Drosophila melanogaster: one gene and its partners. The protein of the gene in region 1 interacts with the protein of each later gene in a pairwise test. Each region holds a gene or a part of one and is shown in the gene's direction. Other genes may lie near its edges.

Region 1 (6,586 bases):
AGCCAAATCCGATTATGGGATTAGTTGAATTGTTGTCAGAAAAGAGGATACTTTAATGATTCGAATTAATTTTTTGTAGAAGCAAATAAAAGCATTAAATGTGTAATTAGAGCATCGCCTTTCATATTTTACGATCCCTAATTGCAAGCAGGCATAGAAAAATGAGACAATCGAGCTTAATCAAAAGATATTTCTGCATTAACCAACCCTAGCATCATTTATTTCACCACAGCTGCAATTATCGATTTATTGCAATTGGAGTTCATGTGTTTTATTGCTAATTGGGACTTCAAAATGCCGTTCGACCAACAGCCATTGCGGCATCCACTCTTTTAGTATATACTATTGTTCACAATATATAAATAAATGGAGAATCTAAATTCAGTTAACTGCTACTTTGAGATTACAAACATACCAATTTTATTAAATTATTCATTGATTCATTCAATGGTTTTTCTTACTATACTATTTACTCATATCCTCATACAAATGGTTAAAAATCTTTAAATTCATATTTTAATTTTATTTTTCTGTGATCCAATTCTTAAAAGTTTGTATATCTATGCAATTCAAAAACATACTTGAAGAGTGTGGGGTGACAGATTGCTGCGTAGTTGCCATTACAGACTTCGACGTTCATAAGCTCATATGTACGACATGGCTAGTGATCCTGGTCCTATACTCATATCTATAAATAATTGATTGCATAATCTATATTAAATGTTCGGAAACGGATTCTTCAACCTGTACATTAAAGTTACATACGTGATACGTGTTTGATGCTCGTTGTGTGTGTGGCCCTGAGATACATTTGGTGATGATAACCTAGTGATCTGTATCAACAAGGAGCCCATCTTTTCACTGCCCATGCGACAGTGGTTAGGTCAGCTACGATGAATTAACTTAGCACAATACTGGTCAACTGCAGTCAATTAGACTCATTTGTAGGAAATTCGAGATATATTTAGTTTAAAAGGTAATAACTCGATAGAAAGCTCTTTTCGAATCAACTACAAGTGTGAACACACAGCTCCACTTCCACCTTACTGGCGTCCAAAGTGTGAGAGTGTTTTTCGGTCGAGTGCTGTGCTCGTAAAAGAAAGCCGCACTGGAAGCCCAGCAGGAAGTGTTGTAACTCGCACTTTAACAGATTCACCAATGCCACACACACAAAAAGTGTGGCTATCATGTCGTACACTTGATTTTGAGAACGGCACTGCGGCGGGGTCCTGGAGGGTAATATCTACGCACAGCATTTTGCTGAGCTAGCTTCGGTTTTAATTGCGGCTGGTGTAGCTGTTTCTGGCCACATAACCGGAAAATATATGCAGGATACCAAGCGGTTTATGTGCCATTATGAAGATGATACCCCCCCACTAACAAACAATTTGTGTGTGGGCGTTGGCTTTTATGAGCCTAGGCGAGCTCTCGAATGCTAGTTATGTAATCTGTCCAAAATATCCGTCTGCAATTAAAAACATTTTCAAGTCGTTTATTCTATATTTGGCGAGGAGTCGAACATAGGGGAAGGAAACTCAACAAAAGGATCGTAAAAGCGACTTTATGAAAATGTCTAAACAATTTTGTGGATTTAGGTTTATGAATTTATCGGAATTTTTTATAGCCCACTTTTATTGCCTGAGAGCGTAAGGCAGCACAAAAATTTGTATTTGAATATCAATAACAGTTTTAGGCGAAAATAGGTATAGTTTATTCTGAGATTAGCTATGGATTTAAAATTCTAATTAATACATGTAAAAGACGAAAATCTATTTGGGCTTTCCCAAACAAGCAGTTTTCAGTGACCGTAGCGAAATCAATTAGAGAATCCCATTCCGCAAATGCTACCCCAACAAATGTACACTTAAAACACATTGCCTGTGCAAACTAATCCAAGGCCGAGCTAAAATCCTTCTGGCTGGGAAGCTAATTCCGGAATCCTCGTCAATAGAAACGGTTTCAAATTAATTAATAAAATTCTCGTTTCAAGTGGGCCAGCTAACAAACAAACAGGCAAACTAGAATGAAAAGACTTGCGTTGAAAACGAATGTTGGTGAAGAAGTTGCTTATGCCAAGGCACGTGTGTGTGGGGCTGCTGTTTCCAAAAATGCCCTCTAACAGTCAACCACCTCAGAAACTGTTTGTTGCCCAAACCAAAGAGCAAATACTTCAATAAACGAAATTAAATATTTGAGCATGGATTGAAACATTTTCCTCAGCTTTTAAGGCGGACACAACAGGGTAAATCGAAAAAGAATTGAACACATTATGCCTCGCATTGGCAACAAATTAAATAATTGCTGCAAAAAGTTTGCCATCCGCAAATATTTCGACAAATAAACGTAAATAAACCATGGGTTCTCTAGACGCTTTTTCGGTATTGTTAGAATTTTTGAACAAATGTTGCCTTTTGTTAACTCACTTAGACATCCTTCGCACCAGTTCTGGCTTTGGCCGTTCCCGTTTTGTCAAATATTTTGTTTGCCACATTGTTTAACTTTTGACCCGATTCGTCCGCCTTGCTCCATGGTTCCTCTGTAATTAGACTTTAATTGAGCAATTGTAACCATCTCAGGCGAGTGTAATTCATTGGCGTTTTTGCCAAAATTGAGCCTGAGTTCCAAAGCCAACACCTTTTTGATGTCTAACCCTGGGCAAAGGAGAAAAGGCAGCATTTTGGATCTGAATCAAACTAATTAGGCGCAAACTTAATTAATATTTGATGTTTTTTTTACCAGTTTGTCTTATTACCATGACGGCTCGGCCAAAATCGCTCCAGACCTTCTCAAACCTTAAGTGGCCCTCGTCATTTGCCTGGCGACAGACAGAAGAAGCATAATGATAACTTTAGATGATATTTCGGGATTGGGCTTAATTTGGCTGAGTTTGAAAACATTTGATAAACTTGTCGCTAGGCAGGTGCCATCGCAGAAAGGGATTCGCAATATGCCTACTGATTTTGTGGGCATGTAGAGCGATTCAAATCACAAAATGGTAAGGTCAGATGAGGCGCAAAAGTTTTTCTAATGTTTATTGGCGAACTTTTTCATTTTTTACAACTTTTGTAGAAGTTTACGTCGTACATTTCCAACCCCCCGATTGCATTCTGCCTTTTCTGTTGTTGCCTAGGATCGTCCCCGGTCATTTTAAAGTTTAAATTATACTAGGGGGGAGTCTGAGGTCTGAGTGGTCTGGAATCCAACGATTGTCAGCACATTAGGCCTACGAAGTTGTCGAAGAGGAGTGGTGGGCAGCCATACTTGGAATTAAACTTTTATCGCATCAATTCCGAGAGTTTTTCCGCGTTTCCATGGCAAAGTTTCATTGTTGGAGAATTTTCTGATATTAATTTCTTTATTTAAAATCTCCCTAGTCGCCGAGATAAGGCGAATAAACGGTACTCACCCTTCTGGGGATAGGTGCCACTTACCTGCAAGTGAAGAAAAATATATGAAAACAAGAGAGAATGCTATAGTCGAGTTCCCCGACTATCAGATACCCGTTAATCAGCTAGTGTGATTGCGAACGCAAAATTTTATAATTTTTCTGAGATATCGATAGATAATTGGGAAAAAAATGATAAAAAATTTAAAAATTGCTTAAAAGTGTGGGCGTGGCCGGCTTAGCGGCGTTTTTAGCAAATCGATAAAAATTTACAAGACTAAAACATTATGAAAAAATATCGAAAAAATTTTCTATAATTTGGGCGTGGCAGTTTTATGCGGTCTAAGTGTGTAAGAATGGGCGATAGAAATCGATATAAATTTACAAGACTAATAAAAATGTGAAAAGAGATCAACACATCTACTCTGCGAGTAACGGGTATAGTTACAATATTTGGAAGTTCTAGCTAGAGAAAACGATATTTTTTAGTCAGCAATATAGTAAAGTAGTAAGGGATCTACCCTTCAAAGTCTTATATAACTATTGTATATTTTTTACAGCCGCAACATGATTTTTATGCCTGCTCTAAACTTGCTTGTGTACAACGTACTTGTAGGTTACATAAGCATGGAAATCAATCGAATCATAAATGGTAAGTTCTTTGTAAGGACCATCTCCTAATCACTGAAGTCTTTTTAGTTTCTACAGCCCAGACAAGTCTTTGGCAGAATATTCCTATTATCGGCCAGATGTTCGCTCCGTTACAACCGGAAACCAATTATGGAGTGGAGTTCGGGGAAAGCATGTGGGACTTTAACCTATATGTAAACATCTTACTGCTTCTCCCCGCATTTTTTCAGGTAAAAGACCACATAACTCGGGGACCACATTAATGTACCGAATTCACAACCAGATCTATCACATCTCCTTGCTGGTGGCGATTGTTCTCATGTGGAACTGCTACCTTCACCAGTGTCTGGCTGCTTTCCACCTGAAGATGGTGTGGCACTTGTGGTGGAGCGACCTATGCTGGAGCTACTACGCTTCTCTTGTCCTTTTCGGATTCCTGTTGACCATGCTGCACTTTAGTCTGATTATAGCAACCGTTATGTATCAGATGCAGATCGACGGAGATCCCAAACCTCGGATCCAGTCCGAGGCTCTCCCAGAGCAGCAGCCACATCCCGCAGAGGAAATTCAGGAACGAATGGCAATGGCCCAGACCATTAAGATCTAAAAAATCAGACACTAAACGACGGAGCACAGGTTCAGCCGCCTTTAAGTGGGTCACCATCAGTCAGGGGCTTAACCTTGCCGCATCTACAAATACACTGGGTCGGTGGTTCAACTAATAAATATGCCAGAAAACACCAGACACACAGATACCCCGCACGCACACACCAGCACACTACCGCAGACCAGGACATGTACAAATGAATCGCAGCTGAGGGCCGGTCGAGCATCGGGAAATAAAACCATTAAATATTTGCGGTTAAACGCACCAAAAACAAACCGCAAAAGTAAATCATATCCAGAGCAGGCATTGGACATGGCCAAGCATCCGAGGCAAAGAATTTCTCTTGCCTCACCCGACCGTCGTCCGGCATTTGTAGGCAAAAATATTAGATTAGAAATTAGAAAGGCATGGACATGCCCCGGATTGGATTGAGATTGGGCAGGCAGCAGACCAGAGCGCCATTAAATTGGGGATGGGATGCAGGGCAGGAAACTGACTGCCAACGGCCTGCCAAAAATTCCAAATGGTCCATGGCCAAGAAGCATAAATCATTGAAACTGACATTTCACCATTTCACTGGATTTGTATGTATATGCCAAAGGTTTGGCCAATTCTTGGGGAAGAAAGTGTTTTTTGGTGGTCGAGGAATTTGCATAGATATCCGTCGTTTTTCCCAAGGAACTACTGGGACAATCGCCCTGGAGTCGAAAATATGGATCCCTGTGTGTCCTTTATAGGTTCCCCTTTTCCCTTGAACTAGTTCCCCCCCAGAGAGCGGAGCATATCAGAGCTCCGAAACGAAATATCGTCATCTCTATTTCATCTTAATCTATGCTAAAAGCCAGCTCCCTCCACTTGAAGGGAATATTGATTCCGTTTCATATTCGGAGGGATTTGGCAGGATGTGCCTAATACCGTAAATGGGGGTCAACTTAACCTCATAGCAAGAAATGTCAGCAAAATCACGATATCTGAGCCAAGGTATTTTTATTGTCTTAAACAGCCTGAAATATATATTATTAGGAGCAATTATTAACTTTAGGGAAACGGTAAGTGAGCGCATGGTTTTTGTGACATCCTGGCTTTTTGGGCTGTCTAATAATTTCACAAGTTGGCAGTGCCGAGTCCTAAAATTCCGGTTTACCTTCTTTTCGACCTGAAATTTGTTCCCGTCCAATTTATCAGTCCAATATGTCGACGATAAAGTTTCTGCGATCCTCCACACACAACGCACTTCGGTCCAGCCTCGGATGGTGCCGCCTTGCTGCCTCAAGACCACGCTATGATTACGACCTTGTGGTGCTCGGCGGGGGCTCGGCGGGATTGGCGTGTGCCAAGGAGGCTGCTGGCTGTGGAGCCCGCGTGCTCTGCTTCGACTACGTCAAGCCCACTCCAGTGGGCACCAAGTGGGGCATCGGCGGCACCTGCGTGAATGTGGGCTGCATCCCCAAGAAGCTAATGCACCAGGCCTCGCTGCTGGGCGAGGCTGTTCACGAGGCGGTGGCCTACGGCTGGAATGTAGACGACACGAACATACGGCCCGATTGGCGCAAGTTGGTGCGCTCCGTCCAGAACCACATCAAGTCCGTCAACTGGGTGACCCGCGTGGACCTGCGCGACAAAAAGGTGGAGTACGTAAATTCGATGGCCACCTTTCGCGACAGCCACACCATCGAGTATGTGGCGATGCCAGGTGCCGAGCACCGTCAAGTGACCTCAGAGTACGTGGTGGTAGCCGTCGGCGGGAGGCCACGCTACCCGGACATTCCCGGAGCCGTTGAACTGGGCATCACCAGCGACGATATATTCAGCTACGAGCGAGAGCCGGGTCGTACCCTTGTGGTGGGCGCCGGATACGTGGGTCTCGAGTGCGCCTGTTTCCTTAAGGGTCTCGGCTACGAGCCCACTGTCATGGTGCGCTCCATTGTGCTGCGCGGCTTCGATCGCCAGATGTCCGAGCTGCT
Region 2 (8,014 bases), on another chromosome or scaffold:
CGAGTTTTATCTTGTTTTGCCGTTTTAATCATATGCGGGCGCAGAGAAAGGAGAAAAGCCATCGAGCAAGAGAGTGGGAGAGCGTGGAAGGGGAAGAGAAGAGCAGAGCAGCGAAGAGGAGAGGAGACAATCACGTCATCCAGCCTGCCATGACACACCAACATCAACATCGATACAGTGAGGGCTCTCGGCTAATGAACAGCGGCTCAGAATAGATAAACTCGTTCTTTATTGTGGTTACCCCAGAGCTGTTGGCCATATCAAATTCCATTGCATACCTCGGCGATCGCGGGCACAGTGGGTTGCAATCCGTTTATGGTAGGATACTTTAAAGAAATGCTGGATTTCAAACACTAGTCTTATTGGGACATCTTAAACATTCGTTCTTATAGCATACTTTGCGGATTACACGCACTTTGTCCTTAAATGGAAACCAAATTGTGTTTTTTGGGCTAAAAAAAAAGCAAACAAAGCAAGGAATTATATATTGCATTGGTCATCTTTTGGGGTTTGCTGGCTTTTAAAGTTAATGGTTCTGTGTTGAAAACTTTACCTTCGAGAAATTCAGAAATAATTCCTCGTGTGCCAAAGGTTTTTACTCAAGAAGTTTGCCTGTAGTTTTTAGATGATTCAAATCACAACCCGGATTGTAACCGTTTTCTATCTATTTCGATTTGAAGACGGCTTCACTGTACACAGCATTGATGACAACACCGAGATACACACATCTAAGTAAACCCTGTTGGCGAAATAAAGAGGAACGCATGAATTCGATTGCGATGATGATGGAACTCAGTCTTGTTTTTCTAAGCCTTTTAATTAAGGCAATTAAATTGACACCCCTCTCCCAATGCCCGCTTATTATTTCATTTTTTATCGGTCATCCGAGGTTCGATTTTTGGCCTCGGCTTAGAACAGCATCGTTTGTGTGTGCCGCTTGAATGTCGGAGTGTGCGTTGGTGTGTGTGGGTCTTGAGCGAGCGTACGAGAGAGCAAATAAACTGAGTCATGGCTGACGATGACGTTATGCTGCTGCTCTTTTCTACTCTATTATAGTCCGCTGCCTAACTTGCGGCTAGGGCAATTTGTCTCCAAAGTGTTTATGCTCAAAGTTTGCCAATAAAACGCGAAAGAAGGAACAAAAGTTTGGCACCAATGCCCGAACACGACTACCATGGCATTTAGCATTCGATTGACCTCGAGGCCAGCAGCAAATCGATAGCAATGTTTTTTGTTTCTCCTCCAAATCGATAACATGCCGCACAACACCGCCGCCCGCACCCCCAAGCCTCCCCCTTTGTCCACCAAAATGCGGCTTTGAAAACTAGTTTGTGTAGGATGCTCTCACTCCGTGATAAATCTGATTTGAGTTCTAATTAATTTGAAACGATACGATATCGATGAAGATGAACTCGTTTGCGTGCTCTAGCTATCACATTGGAAAGCTAAATTGCTATATATTTTGCCATTAATTTGATTTTAGTTTAAGCTAATGGAAAATTATCATCAGTGAGAATAAATTAGGTGGTTATGGTAATTAAATTTAATGGAATAATAATAATACCTAAATTGAAAGTCTAACACGTAAACGCCATGAACCATGTGGTCGTTTTTTGATAAATTTCACTATAATCTCTAAATTTCAAGATTATTAGTTATAAAGGCATAGTGGCCAATGCAGTACATAGTATATTAAATATTTCATCAATCACATTATCTGTCGACAGTTTTATTTTGTGCGAACACGTCAATTATGAGTAATAGATTTTTCGCTTTATCAACTGGCAAGAACTTTGGAAAATTTGTCAATTATTAGTACTTCTATTGTCAACTACAAGTCCTATGACTCTTCTTGCTTCTTTATTATTTATGAACTCATTGCAAGCATTGCAAAATGTTCTCTATGGTTTGGTTGTTGGAAACACCTCATCAAATACTATATACCCCCCTGATCGCTTTAATCTCAGCGGGCAATGCGAACAGCTGATTTCATATTTGCTCTCGCAAATTTGTAAAAATAAATACGGCTGACCAATAATAAATGCGACGAGACAACCCCCCTCGATGCCGCCAACCCGCAAAAAACCCCTACCTTTCCAACACCCATGCCGAATTAGCAAAGTTCCCTGCCTTCCGAAAAGATGGAGATCTACATTCGTGTGCGAACCGCATAGAACCGCCCGAAACCAGAGCGGCAGTGCGAGCGGGACGGCAATGGACCAGAGGCGGTCAGTTTGGACGGTCTGGTGGTCTGGGTCTTTGGGACTCGGCGACTGGGCCGCGGACATCTGACGTCGTTGTCGACCATGCTCCGGCTACGGTATTATATCATGTGGCCAAGACGTTGGTGTGGTTTTTGGTTGCGGTAGTATTGGTGTTGGTGATACGGACGGACGGACGGAGTCCCGTATTTGTTCAAAGTACTGCATTGGGGCTTTATCTTAATGCGATAGAATGAGAGTCGGATTCGTGACACGTTACGGAAACATTTCAACTGGCGTTCTATCTGCTCTGCTGAGGGCCGCACGTCGTCTGGCGGTAAACAAAAAATCCAGCGCACTATGATTTAGCGTTGTCCGTTCGACGGTTTTATTGCCAAAAGTTTGAGAATTTATTTTGACTAGTTTTTTTTGAGCTGTTTCCTTGTATAACACAATTGCTTTCAAAAATGTTTACGTGTTTTATGGCTTTTATTTTGGGGGGAAATAGAAACGAGTAAGAATTTTAATTCTTATGTAAGGTTTATTATTTTAGCTGTTTTTCAAACATTGATGCCTTTCGTCAGTTGAGGAATTTTAAAGCTAATGTTCATGGATAATGAAATCGGCCAGCTCTGGTGATAGCTTCTACCCTTTTTTTTTTCTTATCTATTCTGCTTACTCGGTGACTGTCCTCCCGCATTGATAAGAGTGGGAATAGTTGTTTTCTCGACACATCCGCAATACGAAATTCTAGAAGTAATAATAGATCTCGGGCCAATTGTTATCAGCTTTTATGCGGACGTCATGCGGTGAAGCAAATGGAATGCTATTTTTCTTCGATCGTCAAATAATTGGTCGTAATTACTCGCAGACTCTGTCACTTGGTGATTTTTGTTGAATCATTGCTCGATTGCAATTTGTTTGATACTGTTCCTTAAGTGCTTCTATAGGCTGAGAGAAAAGTGAATAAAAGTAGCGTACTTTCAGGCCCATACGAGCACAAGTACATTGTAATTCCGTCAATTTGGGAAATTCCTATTGAACTGTAAGATAAGGTTTCCAAGAGCAAATATTGATTAATAACTCAATTTATGGTTTTAAAATTTTTTTTAAGTTTCTAGCTAATTTAGTAGCTTGAAGTCAGACCTAGCTTCTGCATTTTGTTTTAAATAAAACAGGTGATTTCAAATTCCTAAAGATTCCTGTATAATGAAAAAATGTCGTTTAAACTCGATTTATTTTTCGCCATTTTGTACAGTACTCGTAATCGGTCTGGTCAAGATAACGGCCGAACTATTTAGATAAGCTGACAAGTGTATGTCAAACTGAACCCAAATCACTGTGCGTCGACGTCGCTGCCGCAGCGAAGGCGGCTACTCTCGTCCGTTGGTCATGTGTGCGATTCAGTCTGCTCGCTGAATTCGCCGCGTTCGCTCTGTTCGCTCTGTTCTGTTTGCCTCGTTTTGGCCCGTCCGTTTGCCAAATTTCGTTTGCTTTTTGTGTTCCCGTTGTGCAAGAACAGCCAAACAGAAACAACAACTACACTAGTACAAGTACGTGCAGCAACAACAATGGCCATTGGCTAAAAAGCAGCTAGAAATTGTTGCGCTCCTTGTGTAAAACATAATTATTTGCTCTCAGTCTCAAGAATCCCTCACTCTCTTTCTCTTGCTTTCACTCTATCTCCCTCTCTTTTGCTCGTTGGCTAGCCAGAAAAATAGTATTTTCGTCGTCAACGTGCCATAATTTCTTTTTTCTGCTTAGCCAGCAAAAAAATAGAACTTTTGGACTGGGAAAAGTTAGATGTGCGTTTGTGTGAGTGCGTGTGAAAAAAGAACTGCAAAAGTTAACGTTAAATTAGCGGGCTAAAAGAAAAACCCAACCACCCGCCGCCCCACTTATGTGAACAGCACGTGCTTAGCTGCAGTGAAAATAAAACAAAAAAAAATTAAATGTGACATTTGAAAAATTATACATTTAGCTGAATGTTGAATGTTGTTCGTTCGGCTTTCGTTTTGATTTTGATCTTTTCGATTTGTTTTTGTATCCTTGATTCCGCTCCTCTCCACAATCTCTTCTTAATTTGAATATTGATGTATAATTTTAAAAAGTTTTCTCTCACTCGTCTTTCCTTTTGCCTTTGTTGTTGGAAAAAAGCATACAAATAAAACCGAACGAAAAACACAACAAAAAGAATACGGGGAAGCGCACGAAAAGTTTGCCTTCATACGAAAATAAATGCAAAATGAGAAATTTTCTTAAATATTTTTATTTGCGAATATAGCTTCATGAATTAAGAACAAAATAGGAAAGCTGGAAGAGCCAAAAAATAGAAAAATTCGCACTCAAGCAAAACACCAAACGGAAGATCCAAAGCAAACAACCAACCAACAACATCAACAGCATCAACTAATATCAAATTAAATAACTAAGCCTAATAACGTATACATTTAAAGATCTATTTATAAATTAATATTTACCATAATGATTTAGTAAGTTAAGCTTAAAGTACAAAAAAAAAAAAATAAGAAAAGCAAAGAAAAAGAAACACCACAACCAACAACAACATCAACAACCAACCAACCAACAGCCACAAATAATTAATCAATCATTAAACGGAGTAAATTCACAAATCTGTAATAAATGCAAATGACAAGGAAATAACGAAAACGACAACAACAACAAGTCACCGCCAACAACAACAACCACACATCGGCAGCATAATTAACAACAACCAACAACAACAACGGATCAATACCAAAGATGGAGGCAAAATTCTTGGCTAGCGCTCTTTCATTCCTCTCGATATTTTTAGCGATTTATGCTCAATCACTTGGTGAGTACAGCCCCCCGAAAAAACCCCTCTAAATCTAAAAGAATGAACCCCCTACAATAAGCATAATGATAAACAAAGAAGGCCCTTTTAACCTATAAGTTGTACCCCGCCCATAAAATCACCCTGCCCCAACCACACACCCACCCATACACACATATAATATTAACACACCTATGTACGTAGCAGCCCAGTATAAAGGAATACAAAAAATATACATACATATGTATATGGGGGAAAGTATGGTTAAACTGCAGCTGTGATAGCAGAAATTGCAAAACAGAACACAACCGAACCGAACAAAGCAAAACAAAGAGGTGGAGCAAGAGGAGGAAGGGAATAAATAAAAAACAGCAGATTGTTTGTGGCTTACTGTAACACCCACTAACCTTATCCCACGCCCCCTAATTGCCCCGCCACCCAAAACAAAAGTGCACCCACCAAAGGGCGAGGGTGTTCGTCCACCCACCACCTGACTTTTACCCCTTCCAAGTTCACCCTAAAGCCAGACCCTAGCCGCAATAATGGAAACAAACAGTATTAATACGAGGCGACTTAAATCAATGGTAAAGTTATCGGAGAAATGTATCGATAATTCTTCAAATTAGGGGATCTCAGAAAGGGGCACTTTGCTGGTCCTTTAGCCACAAGACACAAATGGGTTTTACCAGCGATATTCGAAAATATTAATATATTTGAGTCCGCGCTTTTAAAAATGAAACTTTTATTTCGTTCACGTTCTCGTCTTTGAATAGAACCACAAAATGGACAATCACATTTCTTTTTTGCCCGGCTTTATGTATTCTCTTTTCATATTGCACGGGACACCATCCACCCACCAGCCACCCACGAGCCACCCACCATCCATTTTCCAACTTTGGACAAGGTCTCTGTGCTGCATTCTACTGTTTTGCCCTCTAGTTAAGCGGACTTCGATATTTTCGTGTTGCTTTTATAGTTCATATTGTTGGGTCGGTTGGATGGACTTGGGATTGGATTGCAGTGCTGCCATATTGACATTGTTGCTTATGTTTTTTCCCCCTGCCGTTTTCGTCGTAGGTTTTCCGTCGCTTTTCCACTGTTCGCGCGACCGCATTTCATTTGATTTTCAATTTTCCACACAATTGCTGAAAGAGAACAGCGGCGAATGTCGGAAAAAAAAAGCAGAGGAGCAGAAGCAGAAGCAGACGCAAAAGCAGAGTATCAAGTTCATTTCGGTTCTAGTGAGGGCTATCTTTAAGAATTTTTGTTTAGCCTTAAGAAGACTATTTTACATGCGGTCCAATAATTACGGCCTGTCTCTGGTTTTCCCCGCTTGTTTATATTAACTTTAGCCGACCCAAAGCGAAGCGGACCAGAACGAATCGATTTACCGATTAACCGATACGTGCCCGATACGTACCCGATACGAACCGGCAACGGTGGCCTGCATTTTGTTTACATATGGAACTGGGCAGCCCCGCCTCGCACCTTCCACCTTCCTTGGGGATTTGTCTATGATGCCCGCGCGGGCGGTTCCATCTATTTATTATTCTATGCATACTATCCATTTACCTATTCTACTTTATTCCATACATCCATCTATCTACATATCTATCCGTCCGTCCGTCTGAATATCTGAATGTCCGTCTGGCTCTGGCTCACTACCAAAACCTACGTATGTTCATGAATTTTGATTTTTTTTTTCGCTAAACTGAACGTTTGGCTGGTTTTGTTTTGTTTCGTACATTATTTAGCCCCATGCAGCTATTTTCACATTCAAGGTGTATTAATTGAGTTTTTTTTTCGTGCTGTTCATATGCTGGCATTTATTCATAGTTGATTGGGGGTATTCGTTCCGTTCAAAAGGCAGTGTGTAAATAATTTAAGGTTTTATTCGTGTCTTTATTAGGTTCTCTGATTGATTTGTTCAATTATTCATAGATACACAAAGTTTCGGCTTATTATGGGTTAAAAACGAAATGCAAAACTATTGTCCATTTTAGAACAAACCCATATCGTTAAGTGTTGTTGTACCTTACTCTTAGTTTTTATTAGACCATTTGGTATTTTTTGCACAATTTCGTTAGCGTACTAAATATTCAATGATTTTTCAAATTGTTTACGTAAATAAGCAGCCGAAATAAAAGAAAGAAATTACCGGGCACGCATCGAGGGAAAACCGGCATGGAAAAACAAGAAAAGCGATCCCTCCAGGGAGATAATGTCGGGTGGTACATACATATGTTGGCACTACATGAATCACTTTGGTTGCTTGTTGTTGGAAAGGGGGGGTAGGGGTGGCAGGTCGAAAACCAGAAAGCCAATTTGAAGAAGCATTCCTTTGTCTCCCCGCTGAATTTGCCCCACACCACTTCAAAGCCATTTTCAGCTAGTGGCGAAAAAACCACGTGTTGTCCAGGTGTTTATGCTGCGGACGAATGTGCGAAGAGCCAAAATATAATGCTGGTCTGGTCACACCACCCAACCCCCCATCCCATATTGCCCCCAAGTCTGAGAATATTCCATAGGTCTTGTCACATACATATGTACATATGTATGTACACTGTACCATGTACTCCTCCTTATTTCTCTTTTGTTTTGCGGAATATCCGAGCAGGTGGAATGTCTTGGCAAGTGCTTTCATTTCGGCTGTTGACTGCGCACATTTGGCTAACCAGTTTCATTTTGCCATGTTTATTTAATGACATTTTCATTACATTAATAAATGTCAAATATTTAAATTTCGGCTCACCCAGCAAAAGGAAGCCAAAGCAAACAAGTAGCGTAAAATGAAACCGATGTAAAGTGGGCTAAAAAAAAGGTTTAAATGCTTAAAATGCTATGATACTATTTGTATCAATATAAACTAAACTAAACTAACATTTAAAATGTTATCACAGGCGAAATATCATCTAACAAAGAAACTTTTGTTCCGCGACTTACAATGTTAATAAGAGAAAATGTTTAATTAAGCTGACTGTGTGCCCTTTTTCAATTA
Region 3 (9,907 bases), about 20 Mb from region 1:
CTTGTAAATACGCCACGCACTGGACACCAAAAGATCGCATTGCAGCCAAATATCGTGGAGGTAATCGAGAGTTAACTGTACATAAGGTTAGCTAGATGAAATTCCTTAACTAAGTCATAAGCTAGGGCACCACCAGATAGCAATTGAATCAGTTGTATGTATTCACAAGTTTCTTCGATTTTTTGATTCACATATCAAGTTATCCAAAATAAATGAGCAATTCTACGTGTACTAAGTGGTCGTTCAAAGATTCATTCTGCTCCTCTGGCGAGGTTGAACACACCCCTAGGCGGAACTTTGGGGCCGGAATTCCAGGTATTTTATGGTTTTAGTAGGTTAGACTTAAGGAGACTTAAAGCCAAGGCTATTTGTACTGCCGTTCGCTGCTGGCGGGCAGCCTAGATGCACAGATCCTCGTCCGGATCCTCCTCGTCGAAATCGTCGTCGGCATCGGGCGTGTATATTATGTTTCCCTCAGACGGCTCGGATGTGCTATCATATATACGAACATATCAATAAGGAGATGTAACGCATAGAGAATGGTTACCACTCACCGTTCGTATGGCAGGGTGAGTGCATTGCGGGCCAACACTTCATCCTCGTCAAGCTCGATTTTGAAGGTGCTGCTGGCCGGCTCTGTGGTCTGCTCCGCCTCGGGCGAGGGCTGCTTGGGGGAGGCACCTGCAGGCAGTCCTCCGTCCAGCGGCGTCACCTTGAACTGGGTTTTGCTGACTTCGCAGGAGTAGCGCCTGTTGGACACCCCTCCGCCCGGCTTGCGTGATATCAGCGAGAGTAGTTTGTCCGATTCCAGTCGGAGGACCAGCTCGGCCAGGTACTCGCAGCCAGCCAGGATGTAGTCGGCATGCGGATCCTGCAGGTGCTGCGGGGAGGCCCAAAGGAAAACCCGACGCACATTGTCCGAGCGGCGTAGGCGGTTGAGGAAGCCAAATATGAAAGCAGGCGTCTGGTAGCACAGCAGGTCTGCCAATGTTGGCAGGATGACGTTAAAGCCAGTGGAGTTGGAATCCGTAGTACTCCCAGTGTTGTTGTTGGCGTACTTGTCGATCAGTGCCTCGAAGGTGGCCACGTGCTTAAGGCTGACGCCGGTGGGCAGGGCCTTGATGGTATCCGCCCCCTGTCCCTGCTCGTGCAGCAGACTGCCGATGAACTTGGGGGCAATGCGCTCCCGATTTAGCTCATCTGTGGATGAGGCGGGAGATTGGTGGTCGCATTATTTGGCAGACGATGGGGTAGTCAGTGTGTACTCACCTATTACGAGGACCACTTTCTGCTTGGTCACCACCAGGTTGGAGAGCATTTTGTTAGCATTTATTGTGGGACTACCTAAATATTATTTTAAATTGAAGCTTTTTGTTGGAGCTGCCAGTGCTGCCGAGCTAAAGGCGTTAGCGTGTTTCAGTCGTGCTCAATGGGCCACACTGGCGGCATAAGGGAATCCAGGGTCTCGAAGTAAATGTTTTCCAAGCTCTAGTTAAATATGAATATAAAGTTTGTAAATTTTTAAAATTAAAACTCACACAGTCAGTACTTTCTATCATCATGTGAACGTATATTAAATGCACACTATTTTTTCAGCACACGCAGCTACAGTATGATTCTCGCATCCCTGGTTGTCCCGCTTTTTTCCAAATGAGTAAACAGAAAATCGAAGCGGTTAACAGATCGAGTTACAGTTTAAAACCCTTTGATAGTGAAAGTTTGACCGTGTCCTTGACTTGCTGTACTAAATTAAGTATCAATGAATGTGCCGCTTTAAGTTTAACTTGTTAATAATAATGCTGACGTAGTAAATTCGCACAGCATTCCGCTCTCTTATGCTGCCAAATTATCTCTTTGTGTTTGTGCCGTTTCTGTTTGTGTTCTTGCCTCTTCCGTTGAAGACATTTTGGAAATATTCCAAACAAAACACATTATTGGATTACTGATTCATTTCAAATCTGTAAGTTTACCTGTTTCTATTTCAACTACGTCTTTAAATGTAGTTTACAAACAGTTATAATTTGGTTGTGGCTTTCCATTAATATAATATCCAACAAGTGGTTTTTCTACAGTGGTGTGAGCCCGAAAGTTTGTTTGCATGTGTGCTTCGGCGTTTACAGTTCTGAGCTTCCAACGAAAAGCTCGTGGAAATGCCAAATGAAATGGCCAAGTGCGGCAGAGTGGGCGGGGCTTTAGGGCTTTCACGCCCACGCAGCCTGTGCAGAATTTCCACGGCTTTTCCTCCATATGGAAGGCCCAGCTTCCTGCATTTTAAGCAGTTTGTTCAACAAGTAGAGTAAAGTGCGTGGCAGTAGCCACGAAAATCAGAAGTAATCGCGAAAAACCCATCGTCATCGCTTTAAAGTCACTAATTGCTGCTAAAGATAAGAGCAGGCGGTATTGAAACAGGCATTATCTGAGCAGAGTGAAGCATCAATCAAGTATACGCCATGTTGTTCTCACTGGGTGAGTTGAAGTGCACATACAGTCATTATTGCACAGCATGAACTTAAGCTCTTTAAGAGGGAAAGCTACTTGTTGTCCTTAAAGGTTTCACTTTACTGTAGATGTACTTTCGAAACTAAGAACAATATTGAAATAGTTGTTACTAACAAATTTTACCCAAAAACTTTTTGTAAACCCTTTTACGTTTTGGATTCCACTCCTTCTGGCAAAAAGTAGTTCCAATTGAAGCAGTTCCACTGCACCATCCCATTACTATGCACAGAACATCAAAGTCAAAGTCGCAATTGAAATGCCGCGCAGTGACAATGGTTTGAATAGATCCGAGGAATGCGAAATGCAAATAATCATCAATGCACCCCCTTCCCAACCAGAAGCGATCGACCTGGTCCGGCATACTAACCAGCATTCGTTGGCACCCAAAGCCAAAGGCAAAGTCAAAAGCAAACCCAACCCCACTGGAATCCTATCCGCATCGAGAACCAAACAATTATCCACACCGAAATGAGCAATATGTGTGTGCGATGTCGCATGCGAGAGATTTGCGAGCGGAAAAAGCTTTTCCTAACCATCGCCGGGCGGCGGCTGGAAAACTTTAAATTCAGTTGCGCATTGCACGCCGAAGTGTTCGGTTGTATTAACGGGGTGTCGTGCGGATTAGTTACTAGTAGTTAGTTACTAGCATTTACCAGTGTTTTTGTGCTGTGTCTTAGGGCAATTAACACCGTCCATTATACGTTGCATGTCTTTTTGTGGTTGAACCATTGGTGAATTATTGATTTAAAGTGCACAGACCATGTCGAAGGACGCGGACGTGGAGCAGGCGACCAAGCCGGAGAGCGGAGTTGTCCAGGTGGAGCCAGCGATTCCGGAGCAGCCACAGGCCGCCGTTCCGACCACCATCTCCACGGCGACCACAGTGATCGCGGTGACTAATGGGGAAAAGCCAGCGGCAGCGACACCAGCAACAACTGCAACACCTGCGACAGCAGAACAAGTGCAACCTGCAACAACCATCGCTGGCATTGAGTTGGCCACTCCAACGGCGGCGGCAACTTCACCACCAACAGGTAGACTGTGCATGGCATTGGATTTTGGCTGCAAGTTTGATTAGTGCCAAGTAAAATAAACCAACAAGCCGAGTGTTTAGTTATAGTAAAAGTTAAAGCAAAACGCACCGAAAGACAGACTGCAGCCGTCCCCTTTCCCCGCCGCGGTTTTCACCATCACCATCGGCATCACGATCCGCGATCAGCAAGCAGCCACTAGTAACCAGTAACCAGTAACCAGCTGAATTTCACTTTGGTTTTCCAGACTTTATTTATTTTGCTCCGCTGTCTTCGGACTTGTACGCTTTTCCAAATTCATCCAAAGTCATCTGCCCGGGTTTTACTTTCGGTCTTTTGGTGCGCCTATGTGGATTGTTTATTTCAAATTTTGCGCACGATCTGCTGCAACGCTTTGCTGGTCAGCGTCTTTGGCACGCCCACTTAACCCTAATAATTAACAGTCATAGTCACAGCTAATGTGCCAATTAATTTCACTCGGAACCCAGAGCTGCGTCGAAATGGAGCACTCCAACTGGAGCCCATTGAGTAACCGGGGACGCGTGGCTGCTGCCAGTTACCAGCATTTATAATTGCGATTGCCAGCTACAAGTGTCTCCGGCGCACTTATCAGCCAATTTACAAGCCAACACTTGGCAGTTTGGCTCATTTGCTTATTATTCGCCCGAGTCGAAATTAAAACACCATTTGCATACCAAACGCCAATTAGGGCGGCTGATAGCGGCCCTTATCGAGTGCATCTGCACCTACAAGTTTACTAGCCTTTTAAACTATCTTAGTCAAGTCCAATCTATACTATACCAAACTATGAACACGGCTACTTTCACTACCCGTACGTTCCGTAAAATGAATCGAACTTTAATTTATTTAATGTATCATGCTGCAACATCAAGCACGAGGAACTTGTACGATGCTATTTAAAGCGATTTAATATCAGATGTTCGGACTATCTGGAGAACATACTGATAAGGCGACAGATAAAGTGGGCAGAACGCTCTGGCGTTGAAAATTAATGTTGGGTAAACAAGCGCAAATGTTTACGCATGAATTAGCCAAATTACGCCTGGTGAGTGGCCGGCGAAAGGGGTCGTGGGTGTGTCCCAGTGCCTGGGAACAGGCCGTTCCCATTAACTCAGGGCCCAGTCGATATGATGAGATCTTGTTTATCGCAGTATCGGATGGCTGGCGGCAAAGGAACTGTTTGTTTACCCAACGAGTGCAGCTGCCATCGAAGCGGATCAGATGTACAACTGTTAAAGTGGGTTTTTGGGAAGCCTATTGGCTCCCTAAACTTCTGGTCGCATGTTATCAGCAAGTGCTTGGGGGTTATTTTAATCTGCGGGCAGGTGGAACATGTAATTGAATCATGTTTACGTAGCAGAGGCTATAAACCAAAAGTATGGAAAATATAAACGAGTGCTTGAGATCCCCTTCCCCTTTCGATGCCCCGATATCTCTACCCTTGAATGAGTTATGCGATTAGATCGCCAATGCGTGCTGTGCGTAAAATGGCCTCTATTTTTAGCTCATCCCCAGCTTTTATTGGATTTTTCAGGCAGCGGCAAGGCCAACATGGATCCAGCGCTGATCAACTTTAAGGTGCTCTATGTGCTCACCCAGCTGTGCGGCCTGACCATGATCGTCCTGGTGGCCACCTGGATTGGCCAGCACTTCGGCGGTCTGGCCGGCACCTCAAATCCCGGCGTGGAGTTCAACTGGCATCCGCTGTTCATGACCATTGGCTTCATTTACCTGTATGGCAACTGTGAGTAAATGCAGCGGAAGAGGTGCCACGCCACTCCCATTGACTAGCTTCGAAATGGTAATCCAACTCAATTCAATCCCACAGCCATTCTGATCTATCGTGGTTTCCGCACCACGCGCAAGAAGACTCTGAAGCTTACCCACGCCGGCATCCACATGGGTGCATTCATTCTGACGGTGATTGCCCTGAAGACGGTCTTCGATTCCCACAACTTGGCCAATCCGCCCATTCCCAACATGTACTCCCTGCACTCTTGGCTGGGGCTCTCCGCGGTGATCGTCTTCTCGCTGCAGTATGTGGCCGGATTTGTGGCCTTTTTGGCGCCGGGGTTGAGGGAGAACTACAGGATCGCCATGATGCCGCTGCACATCTACTTCGGACTCTTTGGATTCGTTCTGGCTATTGCTAGTGCCCTGATGGGCATAACCGAGAAGGCCATCTTCGCCATGTAGGTGTATATGCATTCTAGATCGATCACTTGACTAATCCATGACGACATTTCTAGCAAAACTCCGGCTTACTCCACTCTTCCACCGGCTGGTGTGTTGGCCAATGTGATTGGAGTAATGTACGTGGTCTTCGGGGCGCTGGTTGTCTACCTAGCCACTGAGCCCTCCTACAAGCGGAAGCCCATTCCCGAGGACACGGCTCTGCTGAACTCCAGTTCTGTCAACGAGTAAGGGCTATGCCCATGCCCCAAATCAACTGCAATGCTTACTTAAGCTAAAAACTGTGCACAAAACCAAACGAAACCGAACCTGATCACACGGATGGTGCTTTCTTAGTGATGGAGATGGAGATTCGTCAAGATGAGTGTATTATCTGTAGCATGTACATAACCTAACGACTATGTATGACTCTGAATTATGAACATACGTATACTTTGGTCACCAGTTGTGCAATGATTTCAGCGAGTGCTCAAATCATAACGTATTTAACCTCAAGAAAAACATTTGCTTTGAACTGTACGAATACATCTATATATGTGTGTTATATATGCTTAAATAAATATATATATATATATATATCTATTAAAATAAATTTAAATTAATGAAGGTTCCCGGCCAGAAAGATGCCTCCCTTTTGGCGCTCATGTATCGAGACCTCCAGTTCATCGCCTTCAGATACATTTTCCTCGAGCTCTCCTTCAGCCTCCTCTTCATCCGAAGTGGAAGACTTTGGGGGCACGAAGCTCGGGGTGAATGACAGTGAAAGAGTGTCGATGACCCAGCTTTTTGAGTCCTTCATACTCATGCTCACTTGGTCGTGATCTTGGAATGTGAGATCCGGGTCTACGACCACCAGGTAGGTGGGCACCTTGCCCACTCCCTTTACCTCCGTGTGCCCTCGGTAGTTGCAGCGGATGTTAAATTGTCGCAGCACCTTTGCCGTGTGCCGAGTTACTTGGATGTTGTCCAGCAATCCAGTGGAGGACATCCGGGAGGCCATATTGACGGTATGACCCCAGATATCATAGTGTGGTTTCGAGAGTCCAACAACGCCGGCCATCACGGATCCATGGGAGATGCCTTAGATATCATTGGATGGATTAGGATAACGGTGAAGGTAATGCAGCCCACCTATCTTCAAGCTCCCCGTTAAGAATGTATCGTACTCCGAGAACACGTAGTTGTACCGAATGTCGTGCATGATGCGAAGTAAGTCCAGGGCAAACTCGGTCATCACCAGGACGGCGACATCTTGCACTTGGGCGTAGGGCTGGCTGACATTATCGCCGCTCATCTCATCGTCCTCGGTACTTCCAAAATGGACAGTCAGAACTGAATAGATGTACCTTTTACAATTGTACTCTAATCTAGTCGTGGGAAATAGTCACCGCTGGATCCTCGTCTAATTTCGGAATCAGCTTCCGGTTGCTTGACCGGAATGTCGATGGAGAAGTCCGTGTAGTGGTCCGTTTCGAGGCCACAGGCCACCATATAGGTCCAACCCATTACCTTGATCTTTTCGATTTTGTACCTGGTCTGGTAGTCAACCAGGAGGTCGTCGAAGCAGCAAATGATCTCGTGCAGGATCCGTAGGCCCGCCGTGTCGGCGTTAAAGTTCTCGATGGAGGCGAACATCACGGCCACCTTGGAGAAGTTCTCGTAGTAGAGCTGGTCGTGGGGTCGTCGCACCTTGTACACCTGAGCCACGTGGGTGGGCAGGATGTTAGCCATAATGATCTTGATGGAGCGCAGCTTTTCATCAGTTTGCTGGTGGGCTTCCTCGTAGCAAACGCGCATGCTGAAAAGGGAATGAGGAACCGATATACACAAAGATCTACACACACTCACAAGTAGTTAAACTTCCGAAGGTAGTTAACGTGACGTTCCCGCAATACGAGAACAATGAAGAGAGCCACCAGATACCAGGTGTGGGCGTAGTCCGACTTAAGTCCCAGATCAGTGGTCTCCGATCTCTCAAAGGCGAACCCGTAGTATAAATGGACGGTGCCCAAGTGGAGTCCAAGGATGAGCAGGCCGGCGAGTATCTTTATCACCAGCGGACATCCCGGGACGACAAACAGAAGACTGATCACGATGACCACACAGTAAGTGACAGTCTAAAAGTAGGAGATGTTTTCTAGTTTTCAAAATTGTAGATAGTGAAACCAACCCATGGACCGAAGCACTCCGCATACGACTTCTCATTATAGAGATGGGCTTCGATAATACTCAGTTCCAGTTTCGCTACATCACAGGAAAACTGTAAAGGATATGCAGAGCATTGTTTTTGATCACAAATTATAAATACTCACCACTGCTTGAGAGGACATAACGTAGAGCAGGAGCAGTACCACCATGGTCAATGGAATCCTTACGAACAGAGAGTCCTCGATTCTTTCCGAGATCCTGAGAAGCCATCGACTCAGGAAACAAGAGGGCTGCGACATGGGCGTTAGTTTCTTCCACTGCAGCCGAAGCTTTTTGTATCCAGCCAGAATGCACAGGATCAGTAGTATGAGAAGAATTCCGAGCAAGACCAGAATATCAGGGTATGTAGCTCTGTGGATCAAGAGATAAAGTGCAGTACTTGGCAGATTAACTAGCAGAGTCGTCTTACTCTTCGATTAAGTTAATGCTCATTATGGCCAGTCCAGCACAAAGAACTAAGAGCATGGTGTACTTAATCATGAGGTCAGGCAGGTTATGAAATTCCCACTCCCTCTTCCAGCTGCGGAACACACCCAGCACAAGGTGGATCTGGTTGCTAAACAGGTACTCCTCATTGAAGTCCTGTTTCTTCATCGAACTGCTCCGTCTCCATTCTATGAAGCAGTGCCCTACCGCCATTTGATCCACCTCCTTCATTATCTCGCGCTGCGCCTTGATCTGGATCTCTTCGTAGTATCCTCCGTAGCTCAGGCGGCATGAGTTTATGGAGGCGCTGCTCAATTCGTCGTCCAGTTCGCCGGGCTCCACTGCATCAGGAAGTCGATTGCTGACCAGGAAGGTGCGGATCCCCGCTTGCTGCAGGATGGGATCATTTTTGGCTGCCTCGGTGCCCTCTCTGAATATATAGTGCTCGTCCAGCATGCTCAGCGTCCGTTGGGAAACGTGCACCAGTCCCGGCAGCCCGGATGACTCCAGCCGATTGGTGATGTCCACGTCCTTGGACCAGATGTCAAACTGCCATTTGGTGTGCCCAATGATTCCTGCAAACACCTCACCCGAGTGCACACCAATTCGAAGGTTAATGTCCAGCTCGCGCCGGCTACTCACACCCTGCGTGATATGGATCATCTCCAGCGCCTGGTCAACGCAGCAGGAAGCGTGGGCGGGAAAGTAGTTCGGGATGCCAGCCACACAGTTGTAGGAATCTCCCAAGAACTTGATCCGCATCGCTCGGTTGCGATTGGCAGCCAGGTCAAAGTTCACAAACAGGTCGTGCAGAATCTCTACCAGTTGCGGTGCCTCCAGAGTGGTGGTCAGATGCGTGTAGTTCACCATGTCTGCTACCAAAATGGAAACATTCGGGTAGGGTTCCAGGAACAGTTTTCTGCAATTAAAACTAACAGTAAATGCATTTTAGAACATCGCGCATACGCACCGTAAGCCCGCCTTAGAAGGAGTGAAGTTCTTATCCTGATCCTCAATTCGACTACAGATTTCCTCCTGCAATGTGCGTATCATTTTGCGTGGTAAAATTGACTCTAACAAGCCATTCTCCTTCTTCATTACCAACTGTGGATAAGAAAGATGAGATCTTATATACTAATCACTTGGAAATAATAAATCTGGATGGCGAACCTGATAGACAATATTTTGGTATACCAACTGGTAGCGGCTAAGTATTGCTCGTCTAAGGCCGTAGTCCCTGATTATAGTGAAAAATGAAAAGATCAGGTTGAGGGTAAAGAGGTATATAGCATAGGAGGCGAGTAGGTAAAAGGAAACTTGATCGTTCAGATACTGCATATAGAAAGCGTAGCCGATATAAATTATGGATACCACCATTCCCAGGACATATACTGAGCTTCCCTGGTAGAATGCGATGGGTAGAGTCATGTAGACACTGACCAGGACAACATGGTCGTAGCAAGGCACAGTGGGATACGCTGCACCACTATAGATGGTCCCCAGGAGGTCAGAAACGAGGTCTGCAAGGA
Region 4 (6,535 bases), on another chromosome or scaffold:
ATATATTCTAAACATTTTTGGGCACCAGACCATTAGACCACCAGACCAGACGGACCTCAGCATTTTGTAAATAATAATAAAATATAGAGATAGAGAAGAAAATGTTCGGCCTCCGCTAAATTCTTAGTTCCCAAAATGTATTTAGCGTGTTATATTTGGGAGGTGAGTAAACACGTATATCCGAAAGAGATATGAAGATCATTGCACAGCAATAAATTTGCTGAAGATTCAATTCCCACGATCGCGCGAAAATTGCAATCTTTTCACACTCGCATCGTTTTGTCAGAATATTTTGTCACATATTTATTATTTCGGTCTGGTTTAATTATGGTTAGACGACTGTGCAGGCACATAACTCAGATATACATATGTAGTATTCAGTGTAGTACGAGTACACCACAACCATTGTGTGAGAGTTATTAAATTGTTAGAAATAGGCTTATGTATGAATTACTACACAAATGTTTACACTGAACCTGAAAATGCTATATATGTACAACATGGGCAGAACGTCTAGGTGATCATTAAATATAATATCTCTGAGCACAAGGACATTCCGTTGCGAAAGACCAGCTAGTTAGGTACTGTAAGTTCGATACGATATTCATAATTGGTAGACACTTTACATTCAAACGTGTTTCAATTTCTCAAGTAATCTGCTCGCTTCTCAGAATGATACCATTGAGTACAGCAAGTGGGACACAAGCGCTTAAAACTGAATTCTTGTGACTACAGATTCGATTAGCCATTAGCTAAGTGCTAACAGCAAATAGTTAACTGCTTTCAAATTTGTCAAATTTATCCTCAGCGTTTTTTGCAATCACAGGTTAGTTTATTCTTGAACTGCTTAAGTTTCGAGTTTGGCAACTGTACGCACAGATATATTTCACAGATTTAAATCGAGGAAAACCACACTACCGTATGTCAAGTAAAGTTCAGATTCTATTTCGAAGGGCTTACCGTAACTGCGTAGGAAGTTGTCACCGGCCTCGAGGAGTAGGTTCTGCGGGTCGTAAATCCACTTTCGTAAACCATGTTGAGATTTTTAGATTTGGATGCTTTGAGAGTTTTCAAATAGAATTGTTCGTTGGATTTTGGTTCGGATATATCGTCGTTGCGTGTTGTTCACTTGACGCCCGTTCGAGTTGATCTGCCTGAGAATCGCACGGAGCACTTGCTTATAATTTTTTGATTTTCAAAATTTTCACAGCCTTCGATCCCGCTCTCTCTCGCACGTTCGGTCCATACCTCTTTCTCTATCCATCTCCCAAATGAACTTATTTTTGGAATTAAGAAACATTGACATCTCTCCTCGCAAAAGAGCGAGCGAATTCTGTTTACATAAAGCCAGCACTTTTCATACAGTTGCGTTCGGAAAAGCCTATATACACATGAAATGTACCGAGTCTAGTGCTCCCAGGATATAGAGCCCTTATCTGCGAAAACAGACGTCACGGATTTCTTCCAGAACTTTATAGATAAGATTAGAATCTGTATTTAGCATGGGATATGACTCGAATTGATGATGATGGCATCTGAAGATGGAGGAAAGGCTAATATTTGGCATAGGCTAAATATGGGTCGATAAACATCAAAACATTCGGCGGATTATTTATTTATAAATCTGCCACAAGAATTTCTCAATATAATGAGCAATTATTGATTATGGTAATTTCAATATTTTTACATTTAATTGGCATTTAGCAGTATGATTACATGTAGACATTAATAATGTTTATAGCTTAATTCGTATTCCCATCATTCAAAATATCAGCATTCAAAGCATCACCGTTGTTTAAAGATTGATTAGCCAAAACTGATATGAATGAGCTTGGCATTTTTTGAAACAAATAAGGCGTGAAATTAAAATCCTGAGAGCAATTTATGGTCAGTGGGTATCACCTGTGGACCGGACACAGAGCTTTCCACACAAATAGCTGGATATAAATTATTAAGAAAATACAAAAATGAAAATAAGATAAAAATAAATGTTGTTTTCCAACAGTTTGAGGCCAGATTACTCATACCATCTTACAATAAGATCGGAAACATGTATTCGTGAACATATAAATAAACTGCACATCATCCTATACCCACATTTTAAATCGGGTGTGTAGGTGTTTGCTTGTATATAAACAAAACCATGGCAGAAATTCAAAAAAACCAAATTCTTTATGACATTAACCTTAACGAGAGGCAATGAATGATTCGTAATTTCAAGGCTGCCGAAGTCAGCCTAATCGGCGAACAAAAATGTCATTGAGCACTGACTTGGAATTTAGTGTTTGCTTTGTATTAATTAGGTGTTAATAGACATTGAAAAATTAGCAGAAAATAAATTGGCGAAAAGGATTCAATATAGCGAACAAATCTTCTTTGATTAAATGAAAAAGGTGGCACAACATTTCTGCAACATGTTGATTTTCATAAATCTATAAAGAGGTATTACTTTAGGTCTGCAACTTGAAAAGGTTTACTAATTGTCCATAAAAGTATTCGTGTCTGACATAATTCATTCATTATTTTAATATGAGGTGATATATGGAGGTCATTGTCTGGCGACCCTGACGATGTTGAATCTTTAGATCTGTAAGATCTTTAAGAGATTATTTTTGAAACTATGCATCTAAAAAATATGAATGTAAAAGACCTTATTCAAACGAATTTAGTATTAATATTTCTTGATATGCTTATTTAATGTTTAATATTACGATAACTTACAAAAATTTATTCAGCAATATACGTTTAGCTTATAAATATCAATGTAAGAGCCCATATATTTAGGCCCGTTTGAATATATATACGATATAAAACGAGCGGCAAGATGTCAGTGACTTAATACCAGAAATCTCTTGGTCGGATGCCCCTCATAATGATGCAAGTGGCGCAGGTGCAAACACTTCCATGTGTCTCCGTTCCCAAGTCGCGATTTTGATCCATTGGAGTACATAGATATACGACTTTTGGTTTCAGATGCATGGCTGCTCAATTTATCCGCCCAGCCAGCGTGGTTGTTTGTTGGCGTCTTCGCCACTTTTTTTTTTGTGTCTGCGATAATTTTGTTAAATAATTGAGTATGCAATGAAAATTGCGCATTACAGCGACATAAGTACGATGAATGGTCTTTCATTGGGGGGGGGTTGTTTACTGTGCTTGTATGGGGACATAAGTGCCTATATGGTTACAAACACCTGTTCATTCGTTTTGCTAGAATGCGTTTCTTTCCTCACTTTTTCCCAAATACTCGCATAAACGGCATTCAAATCCGCACGCTGCTTGACATTTTGTAATTTGAACAAATTGCTTGCATTTTTAGGCAACTCCTATAAATAGTGGAGTTGCTGCTGCTGGAAATATTAGTTTGGAGCAGAGCGAACGACACGTTGGAGCCACGAGCCAAAAACCCCAAAGGACTATTACTAATTTACAAAAAAAAAAAAAGAAACCCAAAAGGATACCCTCTTAAAAGAGCACAATGAACCGAAATTACATTGTCATACTGCAGCTGCTGGGAGTGTTGGTTGTGCTGACCTACGCCAGTGCAATCCCCAAATACGAAGATAGCCATAAGTAAGTCAATTCTAGTACCCCATATACGATACTCATTTGGAATGGCTTCAGGTTCTATGCGGATAAGGCGCAGCGGGATAGGTCGTACTTTAATGAAAACAAGACCCAGCCTAGTGAACCGCAGACAGCTTCCACGAAGGATAGACTGGAACGACTGGGCTATACCACTGGCTACGGATCCCTAAATGTGCGTAAACTACATCAGAACCTCCAAACCGTGGGCTAAACTACTAACATTGATCTGTGAACTTAAATTGTCTAGGGTTATCCTGGCGGTACTGGACTATCCGCCTACAATCCCATAAAACTGGACCTGGGTGGCGTTGTCTTAGGAACTCTTGTGGGCATAGGTGCCATTATACTGATTCCTAAGATTCTATCCGCCTTCCATGGTGGTTATGGAGGCTACGGCCGCAGTGAGTGAAATGCTTTTATGGAAATTCAAAAATAAAGTTAATTTTCGGTCATTTTTAGGCGAGGACAGTGACCTAACACCACTGAGCAGCATGATCAATAAGATTGACGATGTTCTGGGCCAGAATAATATTGACTCGACGAGTTGCATGCAACGTGCTGTGTGCGGTTATGTTCGCTCTACGGAGTATAATATGAAGATCGGTTCCTCAGACCAGATGGACGAATTTATTCATATGCTAGCGGAGTGAGTAGAGGCTTTTAACTCCAAGGTACTTAGCACACAATATTTGCTTTTGACTTACTTGTTTCCAGAAATGCCCTGGTGGATTACCTCCTCGATGGAACGGCTATTAAGGAGGCATTGGAGCATGGAAAGCGAGCCAATGATCGAGCCTGTGAAGAGGTGTACTCCAATTGTCCGCTGGACAGTAAATCAGCTACGGATATTCTAATGAAGCTGATGCCAAAGAAAAACCCACAAGGAAAAGGAAAATCATCTGGAATTTCCCGAGAAAAGAAGGTTTAGTTAATGTTGTTCTATGAAATTTTAAAAAATTGTTCTCCATTTGCATACAACCAAATATTTTCCCAACATATAAATAAACTCCATTGTGTTATCTTTATTCAACTAGTTTCTGTGCGTTTATAAGCTTTTCCAAAACAATTAACAATGCCTTAGGCCATTTACCATATAATTTCTTTGGTAAGAAGTTTTAACCATAGATCCAATATTTTGTAAGCATTTGTGATTTTTGAGTACGTCTATTCTGGGGAGGCATTCTTAGCCTCATTGCCGCTTAAAATAATTTGCAATTGCTTTTCCTGCTGTTCAATGAGGGGCAACCACTGCTCCGATGGGGCTATAAACTTGGTCGGTTGAAAGGTGGGTATTTTACCTAGTTTTCCCAAAACCGACCTGCGATGCGCTTGATTCTCAATCATGATGTGTTCCAGTTTGTCTACCAAGTGGTTGGACTCTTTGATCAGGTCATCGATGGACTGCAGCAGGGCGTACCAATCTATTTTCTGCGTACCAATCAGAGCATTACCCCTCAATCGAAAGGGAAAGGGAACGAAGCTGCGCCAAGGCTTAAACGATTCGATGGTATAGGGTATAAAATGCCGCTCAGATTCCATTTCCACGGCATCGTCATCGAAATGCCAGGATGCTAGAGTAGGAGCCAATATAGAGTTACTCCCACTTCCCCTCGACAGATTCGATTCATCAAAGTTGAGCCTCCGTATCTTGGCTATCTGATCACCAAGTCTCTTCTCCACATCGGAGATGCCATCACTGTCATCCTCATCGGATTTGGGTAGATAGGAGTTGACCAGGTCCTTGTTATAGGCCTTCGGCAGTAGCGTCTGAGTTTGTCGCGAAACGGTAGGCACACTATCGGTCATTTGGGACATGGAATAGGTAAGAACATCTGCAAGTATTTGGGTTACATTTAACTAAACCAAATATCTAACTGAAAACTTACACTTCTCATAGCCATCCTTCTTTTTGGAGTACTGTCCATCAGTGAGAATACCTACGTCCTTGAGTAGAATAAGATCCTTCTGTACCCCGAAACTGACTTCCTTCATGAGCTTCGTCGGCACAAAGTCCGTCTGCAAGGCCACATTAGCCTTGCCAGCTCTTAGTCGTCTGTATGGAAAAACACTAAGTACTATTTAAATTGTATGATTTGGCTTAAAGACCTTGAGGCATCCAGTAACTTGGCCCGAAGCAAGGCGCTCTTATCGGGCTTGGTGAGCGTGGAAACGCTAACTGCCCGCCAAGGAGGTCGCTTGGCTTCATTTTCCTTTTCCTTCTCCGCAGCCAGCTCCTTCATGCGTCTCCAACTGTTTTTGGCTCTAAAGAGGAGGTATTTTATTTGTTAAAATAATGTGTAAGGTATTTTATAAGTTAAACCCTATTACCCACCTACTCAATGATGCACTACTCGAACGAATGGCTGAATGCGGAGTACCTTGCTGGTCATCCACACTTTGCGTCTCGCTGGTTTCCGATGATGTGCCACTGTTGTTGGAGCTGGTACTCTGCTTTTGCCTACTCATGGTAGCGAGTTTTTGCCTTTTAAAACTTTAAATGTGTGTGGGTGGAGAAAACTGCTTGACGTCTCTATTAGCAGTCAATACATCGATGCATAAACAATTCAGTGCATCCTGGTTGCTATGGCGTCGACTGAAATAGTTGGGGATGGGGCTTGGATATCGACCTGTGGATGAAAGGGAATAACAAGGCGCCAAATAATTCAGGCATTCACACCTTGTTAAATCACCCGGTGTTGACACTCTAGCTATTTTAAGTAAAGAAGGAGGCAAGAGGCAATACATAATAATAAAATAATATACAGACATAACAAAAACATATTTTATTATTCAGTAAGATTTCTATTTTAGGAATTGTTATAGAAAGCATTAAATATGCGGAAGACCTCGCCATTGTAATTATCCAAATGCGTTCGCCCTCCTTCATAAGAGCATTCAGCAAACAGATTGTAGTTTTGCCTATGGAACCAATAGTTCTTGGCAGTGCTAT

Evidence for each region.
Region 2: the proteins of CG11404 (region 1) and Bsg interact in a two-hybrid assay, tested with the Drosophila melanogaster proteins (one large-scale study listed by BioGRID).
Region 3: the proteins of CG11404 (region 1) and CG1275 interact in a two-hybrid assay, tested with the Drosophila melanogaster proteins (one large-scale study listed by BioGRID).
Region 4: the proteins of CG11404 (region 1) and Desi interact in a two-hybrid assay, tested with the Drosophila melanogaster proteins (one large-scale study listed by BioGRID).

Annotation. Positions count from the first base shown.
Region 1 is NT_037436.4:22,544,508-22,551,093, forward strand, and holds CG11404 (uncharacterized protein), read left to right. Parts: upstream 1-3,929; 5' UTR 3,930-3,952; coding exon 3,953-4,037; intron 4,038-4,084; coding exon 4,085-4,245; intron 4,246-4,298; coding exon 4,299-4,622; 3' UTR 4,623-4,835; downstream 4,836-6,586. Other genes in the region: Trxr2 (thioredoxin reductase 2), read left to right, coding at 5,814-6,586.
Region 2 is NT_033779.5:8,084,700-8,092,713, forward strand, and holds the start of Bsg (basigin), read left to right. Parts: upstream 1-3,604; 5' UTR 3,605-3,817; intron 3,818-3,910; exon of another isoform or gene 3,911-4,006; intron 4,007-4,403; exon of another isoform or gene 4,404-4,694; 5' UTR 4,695-4,964; coding exon 4,965-5,037; intron 5,038-8,014.
Region 3 is NT_037436.4:2,249,165-2,259,071, reverse strand, and holds CG1275 (uncharacterized protein), read left to right. Parts: upstream 1-1,648; 5' UTR 1,649-1,960; intron 1,961-2,259; exon of another isoform or gene 2,260-2,450; coding exon of another isoform or gene 2,451-2,466; intron 2,467-3,061; exon of another isoform or gene 3,062-3,249; 5' UTR 3,250-3,259; coding exon 3,260-3,533; intron 3,534-5,085; coding exon 5,086-5,295; intron 5,296-5,379; coding exon 5,380-5,743; intron 5,744-5,800; coding exon 5,801-5,975; 3' UTR 5,976-6,328; downstream 6,329-9,907. Other genes in the region: Elp5 (elongator complex protein 5), read right to left, coding at 399-492, 555-1,200, 1,270-1,318; CG32305 (uncharacterized protein), read right to left, coding at 6,343-6,824, 6,876-7,076, 7,133-7,542, 7,593-7,861, 7,915-8,004, 8,057-8,303, 8,362-9,297, 9,349-9,482 and 1 more.
Region 4 is NT_033777.3:10,776,217-10,782,751, forward strand, and holds Desi (desiccate), read left to right. Parts: upstream 1-3,352; 5' UTR 3,353-3,475; coding exon 3,476-3,570; intron 3,571-3,621; coding exon 3,622-3,757; intron 3,758-3,832; coding exon 3,833-3,986; intron 3,987-4,044; coding exon 4,045-4,231; intron 4,232-4,299; coding exon 4,300-4,513; 3' UTR 4,514-4,609; downstream 4,610-6,535. Other genes in the region: CG45076 (uncharacterized protein), read right to left, coding at 961-1,035; fau, read right to left, coding at 961-1,035; CG45078 (uncharacterized protein), read right to left, coding at 961-1,035; CG42633 (uncharacterized protein), read right to left, coding at 4,750-5,417, 5,472-5,638, 5,692-5,847, 5,918-6,051; mRpL37 (mitochondrial ribosomal protein L37), read right to left, coding at 6,393-6,535.